3 linked regions of the Xenopus tropicalis genome follow. The protein of the gene in region 1 interacts with the protein of each later gene in a pairwise test. Links are inferred from orthologs where the notes say so. Each region holds a gene or a part of one and is shown in the gene's direction. Other genes may lie near its edges.

Region 1 (6,136 bases):
CTAGCACAAACAAAATTGCTAACTTTGGCACAAATCCTATCTGTGGTGGTTTTAAAAGATTGAGCTCTAATGCATCTTCTAGGCAAAGGAAACTGCCACCACTCTAGAGATATATTGGATCTGATATTTAAAATCAGGCTCCCACCTCTTGCTTGGAGAGAGGAAGAAGAGAGACAGATGCTGCGAAGCAGGAGAGCGAAAAACAACTTGATTATTTCAGAAATGGGCAGAATTTTAGAAAAAATTTAGAAAAAATCATGTTTTAGTATGCTGAAGCTTATATTGAACTTAAATATTTGTGATAATTCCACTTTAAGCTTAATAAATGTACCCTCTTTACCTGCCTATATCCTGTACCCACTGAATGTGAAATTCAACTGGTCAATTAATGTCCCAATCTGGCCATTAAGTTATTTTCCCCTCTGGCCAAAGATGTTATCCATTAAGTCCACATACGATAATCAAACACCCTGTTGGGGGCATGGGAGAGAGGAAATAAGAACATAAAAGCAGGCTAAACACAGGCTAGTTTGCCTCTATGTTTTGAATGACAACAAGGGTTCTGAAAATTAACTAGAGCTGGTCGACTGCAATGTAGCACATATTTTCGTTAGAAAGCCATTAAGTATTATAGCCTTGTAATATTATTTATTGGTATAATTACCCAGGCATGCACTGCGCCAATACTCTTATATTATTCAAAACTCATATTAATGTTACCATTAAATGTCGGTGTTCCCTGTGCATACCGATATACTTCCAGACGTTAGCTACCTGGCTCCAGGAGCATGGACAATTGTCTCTGACCCGAAACCACCATAGTACAAACAAAAACGCAGCAGTCCAGAGACTCTGAGACACATTCGCGAATCCGACTAATGACGCCACTTCCTGTATGACAGCTGACAGGTGATTCCGAATCCGGTTCCGGGCTTTCGCATGTGAGTAGTGGTGTCTGGTAAGACTGGGTCAGAGAGATTTTTGGGGGGGGTGCCTTTGTGCATGGTAAGGTTAATATAGGTGTTACTATTTTGTGGTAATATGATGGAACCGACATATAACAGACCAGGAAGTTCTGTTGAACACGCTGGTGATAGAGAATGTTGATACAGGGGAGCGGAATGGAAAGACTCAGAGATATATTTAACTAATATATTGGTGCCAATGGCGGCCCGGAGCTTTTTTCAGTTTAATTACACGAACGTGTACTAATACTGCTGGGGCTTCTGACGTGTGGGAGGTGACTTTGCCTAGGTCTGGGTGTCCTGTCTGCATCCGCTCAGCCATTACTGAACCACAGGATCCTGTATGTGCTGATAACAGCATTGTTGACGTCTGTACCATCCATTTGACACAGTACCATCCATTTGACACATTTCTGACCGCTACTGCCTTTAGGGCTCTGGCACACGAGGAGATTTGCGTTTTTTCCCCCTGGTGCTTTGGCGACAAGTCGCCACGACAATACCCACAAAGAGATTTCATGCGAGTTGAGCTCCAGGCGATCTGCTACCCATGGTACACTCAACAGTCAACCCCCCCTCATGTTTACTCAAGTCGCTCAGAAAAGGGTCTGTGTGCGATTTTAAACAGCAGGCGATTTGAAGCTGACGCTGGCGATTTCCATTGATTTATATCTTGTCGCTCGTCTTGTCGCCAAATCGCTCTTTTAAAAATCGCTGGCAACAAATCTCCTCATGTGCCACAGCCCTTAAACTGGGCTTTCCCTAAAATTCTTCAGCTGATTAATCATCCATGCAATGGAAAGGTCATTGGGGCTCATTTATCAACACTGGGCTCATTTATCAACACTGGGCAAAATTGCACCTTGGCAGTAACCCTTGCCAACGAATCAGTGATTAGCTGTTTTCAGCTGGCTGAAGGTTGGGAAAGAAAAAATCTGATTGGTTTCCGTGGAGTTACGCCCAGGGGCAAATATGCCCTGTCTTGTAAGGGACCTGTGGTGTTTCTGAAAGTGCTATGCCGTAGTGATAAAAATACTAGGTATTTTAGCAGATGCTGCAGCTCTTATGTTGAAGTCTACCTTTGGAAGATAATACAGTGTGTGTATGTCATACAAACCCTGTTAACTGGGTGGAAATATTGAAAATGTGTATAAGTGTGGCCCTAGATATATGGGTTGTGGGTGACCATATGTACATAAACACTGTTTTCTTTTTCCTTTGAGACCTGTGGCATATCCAGTGGCCGCTCTAAACAACAGTATTTGTTGAACAAGGGGAGCTAAAAATGACGAACATTATTGGATATGCCTGCAGAGAATGGTGCATTGTTAATCATTTGTATAAATGTACTTGTGAATATTTGCTTAATGATAAAATGGCAAAGACTGGTGATTCTGAATGGTACCTGGAAAAATATATCTATTTTTTTTTTTATCAGATATGAATTCATATTCACTGACATTGTTTATGTTTTAATGCCAGTTTATTTGCAGAGTCGGACCTTGTCACTTGAAGTGTTCACAAATCCAATGGCTGACAAAAAACGCTTAGCTTTCTCCATTATTCGGCATTTACATGACCAGTTACGCAATGGTGGGCTTTCCTCAGATGCACAGGAGAGCCTGGAAGGTCTGGTTGTTACTTCATATTCTATCTTTCTGTTTATTTGATGGGGGAACTATTCTTATGAGACAAAATAGTTTTTTCTTTTCCTTGCTTTTTCATAAAACTTATGATATTCAGCCTGCACCCACCTGGGGCTACTGAACTACTGCCAGATACTTGAAGTGCAAGTTTAACAGGCAGTAGTCCAGAGGATGGAGAGCAGTACTTTTAAATGCATTCTAATATCTAAATGCTTCTTACCATGCATACGGGCAGTAATCCCCAACCAGTGGCTCGCAAGCAACATGTTGCTTACCACCCCTTTTGATGTTGCTTCCACCGGCCTCAAAATAGGTGCCCATTTTAAAATTTCTGGCTTGGAGGCAGGTTTGAAAGCCAGACACAGATTTACTCCAAGCAGAGCCTCCTGCAGGCTAGCAGTCCATTTGGGGCTACCAAATAGCCCATCAGGATGTTGAGAGTAAGTTAAGATTTTTTATGTAGTGTATAACGTGTTATGAATGTTTTGTTTTTTTAAATTATTAATGTAACAATTTTCAGCCTGCAACTGAAAATGCTCTCTGGTTGTTGGAGATCATTGACCTGGGCGAGTAAAATTGAATGAATGTGAGAGTTCAGATTTATTGTTAGTTTGATTATCTTTTTTTCTGTTCATCTTCTTTTAATCATCCATTGTGACTTCCAAACTGCTGTCTGGTTGTTGTATTAGCTTGCACCTCTGGTGGGGAAGTGTTTCTGTTGATCAGTCTCAATTACACCCTGATTCATTCATTTAATAACTGTAAAAAATGAAAATGTACAAGTTTGTAAATTAATATTGTGAATGTTAGTCCACAAATGTTTTCAATGCAAGCCTGCATTGAATGAATTAAGTGTTCCATCCCAGGGAAGTCTTCTGGTCTTTCTCTGATGCTTGAATGCAGGAACTATTGGATTACTTTAAATATATTTGTGTATAATTACTAGATGGAAGCATTATGTAATTTGAATTTTACAGTTGCTATTCAGTGCCTGGAGACAGCCTTTGAGGTTTCCATTGAAGACAGTAACTTAGCTGTACCAAGGAGTCTCCAAGAGATATTTACAGAAGCCACATGTCAGGTAATCCTTGTAATTAGTTATTGACTGACATGAAATGGCATTGTTTTGGAAAAAAATGAATTGCGAAATTCTAAACTTTTTAAAGTCTACATACCATATTTCATCTTTCTTACAAACTTGATAACATAAAGGAGTAGGAAAGTTACAGTTACTGGGGCCAAAGTCTTAGGCATCCCCAATCATTGTAATTGCTTGCCTAAAACCCCCAACCAGTGCTCCTCTTAGGAGAAAACTGCATGGCTGGTGTGTATGTGAGCTAGTGATCCTTCTTCACATGCTCAGTAGAGAGAAAAGCCAGCTTTTCCGCTCAACTGCGCATGTGTCTGTCCTGGGATTATAAAGAAAGAAGACAGGAGGAAGAGGAAAGCTAGCTTGCATATACCCTGGGCCAGTGCAATTTCATCCTAACAGGAGCACCGGGCACAGGTATCAGGTAAGAGATTACAATCACTGGTGGGGGGGGGCTAACATTTGGCACCCCTCCGTGATTTAGCCTTTCCTTCTCCTTTAATCACAGCTTTTACTATAAGACTTTGTAGCTCTACATTCTAAGCTTTCTTACCGTTTTGTAAACTGAAACTTAAAACTAGCAAAGAAGAAAGATTGGTTTGCTGTCTAGACCATAGTTTTGGGAAAATGGTAACTTAATGCGCTGTTAATTAAAGCATTCTTCTTCTCTCCTCCCAAATTCAGGACTCTCCGCAAGTTAATTCTGGCCTGGCCTCCCCTTGTGATGAGGATGTAGCAGAAGCTGAAAGATTGAAGACAGAAGGTTGGACACTTGACATGTTGCATGATCTCTTAAAGGACAAGGCAACGCAAAATATAATTTTTGCCTAATAAAAGAAAACAAGATTCTAAGCAGCTTTGCAATATACATTTATTACAAATTTGTAATGATTTTTGAGTAATTTGTATTTATAATTGCTATTAAAAAGCAGTGTTTGCCTGTCCTTTTCTATTCTCTACCCTGGTGACTCTGACTGTTGAAACAATGTAACACAAGGCAGCAGATTGACAGACTTGACTTGCTGGAGGAGACAGTTGCAACACTGATTAGAAAGTAACAACCAGGAGTTCAGCAAATGCTGCTTTCAATAGCAATTACATTTACAAATAACTTTTAAAGCGCTACAAATTTTTAACTATTTTTCATATTGGAAAATTGCTTAGAATTATGTTTTCTTTTCTTATGCAAAAAGTTATTTTTGGGGTCGACATGCCCTTTAAAATTGTCCCTTGTATTAATTGTTCATGACTGTGAGGTTATGCAGAATATTCAATTGCATTAATTGAGAAGCCATGGTATATTGGTAAAAAAAAAATGGCATTAAGGAGTACATTTTGGGACAAGAAAATACTTGTGGTAGCATAGTTAGACAGTATGGCAGTATAAGGATATTTGATTTAAAGGCGTTTATATAATCTCCACTTCTCTAAATTCACATCTTAACTTTTTTCCTATATTTTTCTTTATATCACCCTCATTTCACCTTTCACCCTTAATCCAGATTTCTTTGCCATTTGCCACTGATTTTGTCCATTTAATATAATTCCCTTACATATTTGTCCTTGTATGTATTTGTGCCCTTCCACTTCAAACTCCCTACTTCTACACTTTGTTTTCTCCTTTTGCTCCACCTTGACCTCCAGCTGCTTTTTAAAGGAATACTGTCATGGGAAAACATGTTCTTTTTCAAAACTCATCAGTTAATAGAGCTTCTCGAGCAGAATCCTGTATTGAAATCTGTTTTTCAAAAACTTTGAAGCTGAGTTTGCAGACTCAAGGCAATTTTGATATCAATTAATAGAAAGAGAAAGAATTACTGTCATGTTATTACTTTTCTTAAACCTGTATCTGTGTTTTAATTATTGTGGCCAGAGGTAGTTTTTGGTGTATGTACCATTAGATGAGCAGAGAATCTTGTTTTTCTTAGGCAATGAGCAAATGAAATTAGAAAATTTTGAAAGTGCTATTTCCTACTACTCAAAAGCTCTTGAACTGAACCCAACAAATGCTGTGTACTACTGCAACAGGTATGTATCTACATACAAGAAATATGTGTGTGTGTATATATCTCTGCTCTTCCCACGAAGAATTAAATAGCAGGCAAGCTTAACCTTTCCCGTGCCTGCCTGTCTGCTTCTAAGGGCACTCCCTCCCCCACCATTACACATAGACAACGGAGCTGAGTTTGTCACACACCGCTGAAAGCAGAAGGGGCATTGCAGGTTTGTGACTGGGCATATTTATTCACTTGGGAGGCATTTCAATTAAAACCCGGAAGAGGGGAACAAACATGGCTGCTCCATGGGTCTCATGCTACCATAATTATGAAGCGAAAAAACTTTGCAGATTTAGGTTCTAAGGAATTTAAAGCTGATACAAATTAAAACACAACAGCAGGTGTAAAAAAAATGTTCAAGTGGCTGTCCATAACACT
Region 2 (6,259 bases), on another chromosome or scaffold:
CAGGTTTAATACTACTATACCACTAGAGCCATACTATACAGGTATAATACTACTATACCACTAGAGCCATACTATACAGGTATAATACTACTATACTACTAGAGCCACACTATACTGGTATAATACTACTATACCACGAGAGCCATACTATACTGGTATAATACTACTATACCACGAGAGCCATACTATACTGGTATAATACTACTATACAGGTATAATACTACTATACCACGAGAGCCATACTATACTGGTATAATACTTCTATAACACGAGAGCCATACTATACTGGTATAATACTACTATACCACTAGAGCCATACTATACTGGCATAATACTACTATACGACTAGTATGCTGGTATAATGGTATTACTAGTATATTTCAACTATACTACTACTATATTTTATAATACACTGACAAGCCATTCCTTCTGCCAATCAATGTTTGTGCATGTTACCCCATAGTATAGTGCCACAGTACCTGACAGTCCCTTTTCAGCCTGTTAGTTTAAACCATATAATGCCAACAGCCTACTTCTGCACAAATATGGCAGACTAAATATATATTAACTGAAATTCAATTTAAAGATGAACAAGCTCTTTTTGTATGATGCAATTGGTCTTAATTTTTTTTGTAGGAGTCAAATAATAAATGTTTTTTTTTCTATCAACATGGCTTAATTTTCATCAAGTTAAATAATAAGCAGCAGCTCCTACAGTTGTACCCAGAAGCATTGCAGGCAATATCTGCAAAAAAATGGCAAGTCTTGCTCTTATCCTCTGGCTGACAATCTGCCCCGTATGGCTGATAATCTGCCCCATATGCCCTTGCCATAAGAGCAAACCCGCATAAAGAACGCAGGCATAGAAAAGCAGACCGTATATTCACTTTATACATTAAGATATACTACATACATACATGCATACATTCATAATAGGAAGATGATCTATATTGGAAGACACTATTAGATTTAAATGTTGTAATAGTTTCAAATAAAATTTTATTTGCATTCACTGAAAACAAATGCTTCTCCTTTTTCAGGACCAAAATAATGCCTTCCTGCTTAGTTAAACAGTGCCATAGCTGGCACCAATTGGTCTGACATGACCTGTCCTTCATGCCATGCTAATTACTGCTCATAATGCCATAATGAACCACCCCTTTAAAATGAGGAGTGAAGAATATAGTACTATTGCCAGTTATTGTGCCCAGTCAGTAGGGGTAATGCCAACTAAACATGACCTGCCTATCAGTGCTAGGTACCACCTTCATCATCCTCGTTTTATTTTCCATGCAGTCACTTTTCTGTGTTTCCCTAGGGTCACTGTATGCAGTTGGCCTGCAATAAATATGGCAGCCGTGTGTTAGATCGCATGTGGACGGCATCAACCTTAAGGGTCAAAGATGAGATAGAGCAGAAGCTGGGTATGTCTGCTATACAGCTATACTGGGGTGATCCAGAGATCCCTTCCTGTAATACGGCATTATATTTGATATATTCTCTCTCTCTCTCACACAGTCGAGAAGCTCCACCAACTGCAGAACGATCCTGTCGGTCACCACATCGCCCGCAACTTTGCCCTGACGCACTTTGTGAAGCGGAGGAAATACTGGGAGGAGCGCCAGCTGGGGGAGAACAAGCGCCGAAAAATGTTTTCTGAGATCCTGGAAGACTGAAGCGACATCTGAAAAAACTGACTTACAGCTCTAAGCCATTGCCAACATGGTGCCTTGGTGCGGAGTTTGACAGTTCAAGCCAGGACTTGAATCAGTCATAAATCTGCCAATTGGTGGTTCTGGAAGTCTGGATGTTACAACAGAATCCCTTCCCTTGTTGATTAACATGCAATGAGCTGGACTCTATCATGATATGGAGCTTATATTTATAGGGCAGTGGTTCTCAACAAGCTAGTTGAAATACTTTATTTCACTAGGTGACAGCACTTCTAAACCGGGATAAAATGACAGCCTCTTTTACAATTATGATTAGTGATGAGCGAATCTGTCCCATTTCGCTTCGCCATAAAATTTGCGAAACGGCAAGAAAATTTGTAAAACGGCAAAAAATTCACAAAACGCATTAGTCACGCTATTTTTTTTTGTTGCCCACGTCTATTTTTTGTCGCCTGTGTCTATTTTTTTGTCGCCCGTGCTTTTTTGCTGCACCCGCGCCTTTTTGATGTGACCATGCCCGATTTTATGTGACAACGCCCTTTTTGACGCGCAACGAAAAATTCCGTAAAAACAAGTAGGATCTATCCTACATGCACTATATTTTATAATTCCTATGATTATTCATTTTCCAACTAGAACATAGTCCAACTATATAAAAAAAGTCTATTTCCTTATATGCAAAGGTACACTGTTCCATTACCAACTAGGAACTAGATATATCTGACCATATTGTCTAGTTTCTATTACTGTTCCTTTTCCCACTAGATTTTAGCCCAACTTACACTGAAAGATCTATTTCCTAGTCTGTAAAGCTGCTCTGTTCCACTAGCAACTTGGAACTAGATATGTCTGAAGAAATTGTCTAGTTTCTATTACTTTTCCCTTTCCCACTAGATGTTAGCAAAACTACACTGAAAGATCAATTTCCTAATCTGTAAAGCTGCTCTGTTCTATTACCAACTAGGAACTAGATATATCTGAAGAAATTGTCTAGTTTCTATTACTGTTCCTTTTCCCACTAGATTTTAGCCCAACTTACACTGAAAGATCTATTTCCTAGTCTGTAAAACTGCTCTGTTCCATTAGCAACTTGGAACTAGACACAACCCGCCAATCACTGCCAATCGCTACTCTCTTCCTACTTCCTATTTCCGGCCAGCTAAAGTGACGCTGTGTGGTGACGTTTCCCCGGGCGCGTAGTTAGTGACGCAACCTTCCAGATACGGGTGGGCCCTTGTGAACTCGGGTTTGGGCAAAGAGGGATCCAGGCGAAGCCGGGCGGTAAGTGACACGCTTTTGACGTCACGTCATATTTAGACCCGCTCAGGACTCAGGAGCCGTGACCTCACCCCCTTACGTGTATCACCCCCTTACGTGACATCATCACACCCGGCCGTACCATTGTAGCCTCGACTTCCTAGCGTTTATACGTGACAGGCACACTGTAGCCCCATTCAGACTATGATTCCCTGACTGAGTTTGTGTGCTTGTATAGGGTTTTGTTGATAGGCAATGCCATTGGTTCCACTGTGTGTGCTGCGGTATTGGTGCCATAGTCACTCTGTGACTGCTCTGAAAATGAGTGGGAGGCCAGGTGACTGCTGAGAGAGAAGGAATTTGGGGCCTTGTCTATCAAGGGGCTGAAGGCTGATGCCCTGTCTCTGCAGTGTCTGGGCCTTTTATTGTATAATATCATACAGAGAGACCCCTGCTTCAATGTGTGGGAGGCCCCTATGTGGCAGTGGATTGTTGGTGGCATCCTGTGTTTGTGGTTTCAGATAGCTGGGGGGGCTGAATGTGGGTCATCTTTGTATTCCTACCTGCCCGCACAGTACCCCCTTTTAGCTTACCACTCAGGGGCAATCTGGCCCATTCAGAGTCAGCAGCGTATCTACCTGTATATGGGGTGCTCTGTTGGGCCTGCCAACCAATACCTGGCTGGAAATTGAACAGATTTCGATCGGCTTACTAATGCCTTCCTAGTCTCGATGGCCTGCGTTTCATCATTGTCGTATGATTGGCCAAAACAATCGGATGGGCCCAATACTGCCCACCTCATATAAGATCTGCTTGTCTGGTGACCTTGCCAAACAAGCAGATCCTTACATGTATCTCTAGCTTAAGAAGTACATGTTACCTGCAGCCCTCCTTCTGCTGTTGGATGATAGCTACCTGCCCTTGGCCAGTAGATATAGTTTGCTCAGTGTGCTCACGGCCCCTAGTAAAGCATGGTGGGCACTGTATCTCTTTCATGTAACATGTGACCATCTGTCCTTCTTCTAGGAAATGGGCATGGAGTCGCCCCCGCCAACCATGATAGAGGGTCTCGGAGATGAGGTAACAGTAGCAGTTGGTCTCTTCATCCTACTCCTAGCCATCACCTTGGCATGGCTTTCAACCTACGTTGCTGAGGGAAGTGACCCCCTTTTAGGAAGCTTAATCCCAACTGGGCGCAGGGATCCTCTCCTGGTACTCAGTAATCCAGTACCTGCCAGTCCTGAACCACAGAGGCCTGCGGAAGCCCAAGCTGAGAAACCAGAAGAAGGAGAGCAGGATCCTGGTGGAGAGCAGGAAGCTGGCAGTGAAAATGCTAACCTGGATCAGATGCTGGATATTCAGGGGGTATCCAAGCGCAGCCAGGCTGTGCCACCACTGAGAGAGGAGGATGGCACAGAGCAGGATGTGACACAGGAAGATGATAAAGAAGCGGAAAGCCCTCTTATTGTGGGTAGAAAGATAGAACAAGAGGAGGAAAAGCCACTTGCAAAAGAGGGGATGACTCGGGAGAAGCCTGAAGAAGCACTCATGACAGTCAGGCTTAAGTTCCTGAATGAAACAGAGGAGGTGGCTATGGTCAGGCCAAACGACACCATTGGGATGTTAAAAAGGTGAGATAGTGAGGAATTGGGATACAAATAACAGATAAAGAATATAAACCAGATTAAAGGTGGTCAATAAAAGCTGACAACTGGGTTCCTCCAGGACAGTGCTGTCCAACTGGCGGCCCGCGACCCCCCTCTGTGTGGCCCCCCACCTGTCTGGCTGCTTTGATGGCTTACCTTTGAGTAAGCATTAAATGGTATCAGTACTGAGATTAACTGGCCCCCTGCATGGTTCTCACCTCAGATTCAGGCTGTAATCCCTCTGTATTGTTTAAAAATGTAATCCCCTGTGTTTTTCACACCTTTTAATACCTGCATTGTTCACACCTCAGGCTCAGACTGTAATCACTCCCATTGTTCACTTCTTCACACCTCAGACATAGGTACTGTAGGCAGAGTATGGCACACACAGGCAGCATAGGTCAGGGAGGGTATGGCACACACAGGAAGGGAAGGGCAGGCAGAGTATGGCACACACAGTCAGGTTAGGGCAGGCAGAGTATGGCACACACAGGCAGGGTAGGGCAGGCAGAGTATGGCACACACAGACAGCATAGGACAGGCAGAGTGCTGTCTGTGTGTGCCATACTCTGCTTGCCCTATGCTGCTTGTGGGAGGTGAACCTGGCAGGGGTTTGTTGTGGGAGTTTGTTAGCAGTTGGAAATAGCCATTAAATGGTCCCTAAGGTGTGAAATTATGTACTGGGGGTTGCTCTGCTATCCACAGGGGAAGAGGAGGCATATGAAATTTAAGGTTATATCTTAATATGACATAATTCTTTCACATATGAATGATGGTTGATATCCCCACAGTAAGAACCAAGCATTTGGGATTTTGCTGTGCTACCACCATTGTGATAAAATAGGTGTGGTTTGAAGTGGGTGTGGTTTCAAAAAGGGGAGTGGTCAAAACTGGCTTCCATTAGCGGCCCTCCACCATGTATGCTAGAGAAATTCCGGCTCTCGGCACCGTAGAAGTTGGACAGCACTGCTCCAGGACAATGTGGCAGCCTATTGGCCCATGTAGGAGGCCAACCAATATCTTTCAGGTTTGAAAATCCCATTAGACTAGAACCGCATCAACACATTGATGCAGTCCTCATCCATTGTGTCTTCATAGTCCCTGCTCTATGATCTGCCCATTGGCCCTGCGCATGAGTGGCCAAATTGGGTTGAGCGTGAACAGATTTCAACATGTATGGCCAGATTAAAGCTAATCTCTACATATCCAGCCTGTAACACCTCTAAGACTGTGGTTGAACAACCACAGCATGCACTTGGCAGGTGTATTTCAGCAATAGCTGCAAGGTTGCGAGTTGAAAATGTAACCTATACCTGAACAATTGACTGCAGTCACTGGTATCATATAATATGTACATAGGTTCTGCAGTAGGCAGTGCTAGTCCATGCCTGTAGGTAAATACTGCAAGGTCTGCTCCATAGTAGATACAACTTGACTGCATTATCATGGATGAGCTAATGGACAGAGCTTTAAAGTAATAGTGACACCTTTAGTTTTGTGATTTAACATTTTCTTTGATAGCAGTAATAACTATCAATAACAAAATCACTGACATAAACCTACCAATTCAGTATAATATATTGCCGTAAAAAAACACTCCACTTCCTCATATGAAGAAGGCTACTACTTTCCTTAGGGGGCTTTATTCCTGCTGTTTATTTCTTTCAGACCCCTTCTGTGGTC
Region 3 (6,016 bases), on another chromosome or scaffold:
CAAGATGGGGACAGTAGGGCAAGATGGAGACAGTAGGGCAAGATGGAGACAGTAGGACAAGATGGGGACAGTAGGGCAAGATGGAGACAGTAGGGCAAGATGGAGACAGTAGGGCAAGATGGAGACAGTAGGGCAAGATGGAGACAGTAGGACAAGATGGAGACAGTAGGGCAAGATGGAGACAGTAGGGCAAGATGGAGACAGTAGGGCAAGATGGAGACAGTAGGACAAGATGGGGACAGTAGGGCAAGATGGAGACAGTAGGGCAAGATGGGGACAGTAGGGCAAGATGGAGACAGTAGAACAAGATGGAGACTGTAGGACAAGATGGAGACAGTAGGACAAGATGGAGACAGTAGGGCAAGATGGAGACAGTAGAACAAGATGGGGACAGTAGGGCAAGATGGAGACAGTAGAACAAGATGGAGACTGTAGGACAAGATGGAGACAGTAGGACAAGATGGGGACAGTAGGACAAGATGGGGACAGTAGGGCAAGATGGAGACAGTAGGGCAAGATGGGGACAGTAGGGCAAGATGGAGACAGTAGAACAAGATGGAGACTGTAGGACAAGATGGAGACAGTAGGGCAAGATGGAGACAGTAGGGCAAGATGGGGACAGTAGGGCAAGATGGAGACAGTAGGACAAGATGGAGACAGTAGGACAAGATGGGGACAGTAGGGCAAGATGGAGACAGTAGAACAAGATGGAGACTGTAGGACAAGATGGAGACAGTAGGGCAAGATGGAGACAGTAGGGCAAGATGGGGACAGTAGGGCAAGATGGAGACAGTAGGACAAGATGGAGACAGTAGGACAAGATGGGGACAGTAGGGCAAGATGGAGACAGTAGGACAAGATGGAGACAGTAGGGCAAGATGGAGACAGTAGGACAAGATGGGGACAGTAGGGCAAGATGGAGACAGTAGGGCAAGATGGGGACAGTAGGGCAAGATGGAGACAGTAGGGCAAGATGGGGACAGTAGGGCAAGATGGGGACAGTAGGGCAAGATGGGGACAGTAGGGCAAGATGGGGACAGTAGGGCAAGATGGGGACAGTAGGGCAAGATGGGGACAGTAGGGCAAGATGGAGACAGTAGGACAAGATGGGGACAGTAGGGCAAGATGGAGACAGTAGGACAAGATGGAGACAGTAGGACAAGATGGGGACAGTAGGGCAAGATGGAGACAGTAGGACAAGATGGGGACAGTAGGACAAGATGGGGACAGTAGGACAAGATGGAGACAGTAGGACAAGATGGGGACAGTAGGGCAAGATGGAGACAGTAGAACAAGATGGAGACTGTAGGACAAGATGGAGACAGTAGGGCAAGATGGAGACAGTAGGGCAAGATGGGGACAGTAGGGCAAGATGGAGACAGTAGGACAAGATGGAGACAGTAGGACAAGATGGGGACAGTAGGGCAAGATGGAGACAGTAGGACAAGATGGAGACAGTAGGGCAAGATGGAGACAGTAGGACAAGATGGGGACAGTAGGGCAAGATGGAGACAGTAGGGCAAGATGGGGACAGTAGGGCAAGATGGAGACAGTAGGGCAAGATGGGGACAGTAGGGCAAGATGGGGACAGTAGGGCAAGATGGAGACAGTAGGGCAAGATGGAGACAGTAGGACAAGATGGGGACAGTAGGGCAAGATGGAGACAGTAGGACAAGATGGGGACAGTAGGACAAGATGGGGACAGTAGGGCAAGATGGGGACAGTAGGGCAAGATGGAGACAGTAGGGCAAGATGGAGACAGTAGGGCAAGATGGAGACAGTAGGGCAAGATGGGGACAGTAGGACAAGATGGGGACAGTAGGGCAAGATGGAGACAGTAGGACAAGATGGAGACAGTAGGACAAGATGGGGACAGTAGGACAAGATGGGGACAGTAGGGCAAGATGGGGACAGTAGGGCAAGATGGAGACAGTAGGGCAAGATGGAGACAGTAGGACAAGATGGGGACAGTAGGGCAAGATGGGGACAGTAGGGCAAGATGGAGACAGTAGGACAAGATGGAGACAGTAGGGCAAGATGGGGACAGTAGGACAAGATGGGGACAGTAGGGCAAGATGGGGACAGTAGGGCAAGATGGGGACAGTAGGGCAAGATGGAGACAGTAGGGCAAGATGGGGACAGTAGGGCAAGATGGGGACAGTAGGGCAAGATGGGGACAGTAGGGCAAGATGGGGACAGTAGGGCAAGATGGAGACAGTAGGACAAGATGGAGCATCAGCTTGAGGCCTGGGTTACATGGTTGCTATGGGACTAAGGCAATGAACACCAGCAGGACCCACTCTAGGAGCTACTGGTTACACAGTAATACATTGCACCTGTCACTCACCTACCCCAGACCCACCCCCCTGGCCCCAGACTGAGGCTACAAGCTCAGTGGGCGGTACCTGATACATTCTGAGTGACAGCCTCAGAGCTGAACTAGACTAAATACTTTTCTCCCCTCAGCACTGCCCCTGCCACTCACTCACATAAGCTCCTCCCCAGACCCCGCCCCTTCAGCTGTCCGTGCACCTGTCACTTTTCAAGCCGGGAGACACAGGGTTAAGCCATAGTCGGGGGCGGAGCCAGATGTCCCTCAGACACAATGAGACGTTCTGTTTGGCCCCGCTCCCTGGGGGAGAGCGCTGATTGGCCAGCTGGAGTCACGTGGGATGCGAGAACTGGAACCTGTTGCTGTAGAGAAGTTTGTGAGGTGAGTTTGGGGCAGCGGGAGCGGTACCGGCACATTAACCCCCGCACTGCCGGGACATTCCGTCCGTAACCCCCGCACTGCCGGGACATTCTGTCCGTAACCCCCGCACTGCCGGGACATTCTGTCCGTAACCCCCGCACTGCCGGCACATTCTGTCCGTAACCCCCGCACTGCCGGGACATTCCGTCCGTAACCCCCGCACTGCCGGGACATTCTGTCCGTAACCCCCGCACTGCCGGGTCATTCTGTCCGTAACCCCCGCACTGCCGGCACATTCTGTCCGTAACCCCCGCACTGCCGGGACATTCTGTCCGTAACCCCCGCACTGCCGGGACATTCTGTCCGTAACCCCCGCACTGCCGGGTCATTCTGTCCGTAACCCCCGCACTGCCGGCACATTCTGTCCGTAACCCCCGCACTGCCGGGTCATTCTGTCCGTAACCCCCGCACTGCCGGGTCATTCTGTCCGTAACCCCCGCACTGCCGGGACATTCTGTCCGTAACCCCCGCACTGCCGGGTCATTCTGTCCGTAACCCCCGCACTGCCGGGACATTCTGTCCGTAACCCCCGCACTGCCGGCACATTCCGTCCGTAACCCCTGCACTGCCGGGACATTCTGTCCGTAACCCCCGCACTGCCGGCACATTCTGTCCGTAACCCCGCACTGCCGGGACATTCTGTCCGTAACCCCCGCACTGCCGGCACATTCTGTCCGTAACCCCCGCACTGCCGGGACATTCCGTCCGTAACCCCCGCACTGCCGGGTCATTCTGTCCGTAACCCCCGCACTGCCGGGTCATTCTGTCCGTAACCCCCGCACTGCCGGGTCATTCTGTCCGTAACCCCCGCACTGCCGGGTCATTCTGTCCGTAACCCCCGCACTGCCGGGTCATTCTGTCCGTAACCCCCGCACTGCCGGGTCATTCTGTCCGTAACCCCCGCACTGCCGGGTCATTCTGTCCGTAACCCCCGCACTGCCGGGTCATTCCGTCCGTAACCCCCGCACTGCCGGGTCATTCCGTCCGTAACCCCCGCCACTGCCGGGACATTCTGTCCGTAACCCCCGCACTGCCGGGTCATTCTGTCCGTAACCCCCGCTCTGCCGGGTCATTCCGTCCGTAACCCCGCACTGCCGGACATTCTGTCCGTAACCCCCGCACTGCCGGGTCATTCTGTCCGTAACCCCCGCACTGCCGGGTCATTCCGTCCGTAACCCCCGCACTGCCGGCACATTCTGTCCGTAACCCCCGCACTGCCGGGTCATTCTGTCCGTAACCCCCGCACTGCCGGGTCATTCCGTCCGTAACCCCCGCACTGCCGGGACATTCCGTCCGTAACCCCCGCACTGCCGGGACATTCTGTCCGTAACCCCCGCACTGCCGGGACATTCTGTCCGTAACCCCCGCACTGCCGGGTCATTCTGTCCGTAACCCCCGCACTGCCGGGACATTCTGTCCGTAACCCCCGCACTGCCGGGACATTCCGTCCGTAACCCCCGCACTGCCGGGACATTCTGTCCGTAACCCCCGCACTGCCGGGACATTCTGTCCGTAACCCCCGCACTTGCCGGGTCATTCTGTCCGTAACCCCCGCACTGCCGGGACATTCTGTCCGTAACCCCCGCACTGCCGGCACATTCTGTCCGTAACCCCCGCACTGCCGGGACATTCTGTCCGTAACCCCCGCACTGCCGGGACATTCTGTCCGTAACCCCTGCACTGCCGGGACATTCTGTCCGTAACCCCCGCACTGCCGGGAACTACATGGGGCCCCAAGGAACTGTCAGCCAGGGAACTACATGGGGGCCCCAAGGAACTGTCAGCCAGGGAACTACATGGGGGCCCCAAGGAACTGTCAGCCAGGGAACTACATGGGGGCCCCAAGGAACTGTCAGCCAGGGAACTACATGGGGCCCCAAGGAACTGTCAGCCAGGGAACTACATGGGGGCCCCAAGGAACTGTCAGCCAGGGAACTACATGGGGCCCAAGGAACTGTCAGCCAGGGAACTACATGGGGGCCCCAAGGAAACTGTCAGCCAGGGAACTACATGGGGGCCCCAAGGAACTGTCAGCCAGGGAACTACATGGGGGCCCCAAGGAACTGTCAGCCAGGGAACTACATGGGGGCCCCAAGGAACTGTCAGCCAGGGAACTACATGGGGGCCCCAAGGAACTGTCAGCCAGGGAACTACATGGGGGCCCCAAGGAACTGTCAGCCAGGGAACTACATGGGGGCCCCAAGGAACTGTCAGCCAGGGAACTACATGGGGGCCCCAAGGAACTGTCAGCCAGGGAACTACATGGGGCCCCAAGGAACTGTCAGCCAGGGAACTACATGGGGCCCCAAGGAACTGTCAGCCAGGGAACTACATGGGGGCCCCAAGGAACTGTCAGCCAGGGAACTACATGGGGGCCCCAAGGAACTGTCAGCCAGGGAACTACATGGGGCCCCAAGGAACTGTCAGCCAGGGAACTACATGGGGGCCCCAAGGAACTGTCAGCCAGGGAACTACATGGGGGCCCCAAGGAACTGTCAGCCAGGGAACTACATGGGGGCCCCAAGGAACTGTCAGCCAGGGAACTACATGGGGCCCCAAGGAACTGTCAGCCAGGGAACTACATGGGGGCCCAAGGAACTGTCAGCCAGGGAACTACATGGGGGCCCAAGGAACTGTCAGCCAGGGAACTACATGGGGGCCCCAAGGAACTGTCAGCCAGGGAACTACATGGGGGCCCAAGGAACTGTCAGCCAGGGAACTACATGGGGGCCCAAGGAACTGTCAGCCAGGGAACTACATGGGGGGCCCCAAGGAACTGTCAGCCAGGAACTACATGGGGGCCCAAGGAACTGTCAGCCAGGGAACTACATGGGGGCCCCAAGGAACTGTCAGCAGGGAACTACATGGGGCCCAAGGAACTGTCAGCCAGGGAACTACATGGGGGCCCAAGGAACTGTCAGCCAGGGAACTACATGGGGGCCCAAGGAACTGTCAGCCAGGGAACTACATGGGGGCCCCAAGGAACTGTCAGCCAGGGAACTACATGGGGGCCCAAGGAACTGTCAGCCGGGGAACTACATGGGGGCCCCAAGGAACTGTCAGCCAGGGAACTACATGGGGCCCCAAGGAACTGTCAGCCAGGGAACTACATGGGGGCCCCAAGGAACTGTCAGCCAGGGAACTACATGGGGGCCCCAAGGAACTGTCAGCCAGGGAACTACATGGGGGCCCCAAGGAACTGTCAGCCGGGGAACTACATGGGGCCCCAAGGAACTGTCAGCCGGGGAACTACATGGGGGCCCC

The links. The genes of interacting proteins can lie anywhere in the genome.
Region 2: the proteins of sgta (region 1) and tmub2 interact in binary tests that used the Homo sapiens proteins (3 or more experiments, as listed by UniProt). The two-hybrid records come from large-scale screens. The link is inferred for Xenopus tropicalis from reciprocal best matches to the Homo sapiens genes SGTA and TMUB2.
Region 3: the proteins of sgta (region 1) and pbxip1 interact in binary tests that used the Homo sapiens proteins (3 or more experiments, as listed by UniProt). The two-hybrid records come from large-scale screens. The link is inferred for Xenopus tropicalis from reciprocal best matches to the Homo sapiens genes SGTA and PBXIP1.

What each region holds. Positions count from the first base shown.
Region 1 is NC_030677.2:99,257,673-99,263,808, forward strand, and holds the start of sgta (small glutamine-rich tetratricopeptide repeat-containing protein alpha), read left to right. Parts: upstream 1-2,450; 5' UTR 2,451-2,494; coding exon 2,495-2,594; intron 2,595-3,588; coding exon 3,589-3,692; intron 3,693-4,385; coding exon 4,386-4,464; intron 4,465-5,629; coding exon 5,630-5,729; intron 5,730-6,136. UniProt on the Homo sapiens protein: Co-chaperone that binds misfolded and hydrophobic patches-containing client proteins in the cytosol. Mediates their targeting to the endoplasmic reticulum but also regulates their sorting to the proteasome when targeting fails.
Region 2 is NC_030686.2:18,477,955-18,484,213, forward strand, and holds the start of tmub2 (transmembrane and ubiquitin-like domain-containing protein 1), read left to right. Parts: upstream 1-2,847; 5' UTR 2,848-2,954; intron 2,955-3,956; 5' UTR 3,957-3,959; coding exon 3,960-4,561; intron 4,562-6,259.
Region 3 is NC_030684.2:145,126,474-145,132,489, forward strand, and holds the start of pbxip1 (pre-B-cell leukemia transcription factor-interacting protein 1), read left to right. Parts: upstream 1-2,604; 5' UTR 2,605-2,713; intron 2,714-6,016. UniProt on the Homo sapiens protein: Regulator of pre-B-cell leukemia transcription factors (BPXs) function. Inhibits the binding of PBX1-HOX complex to DNA and blocks the transcriptional activity of E2A-PBX1.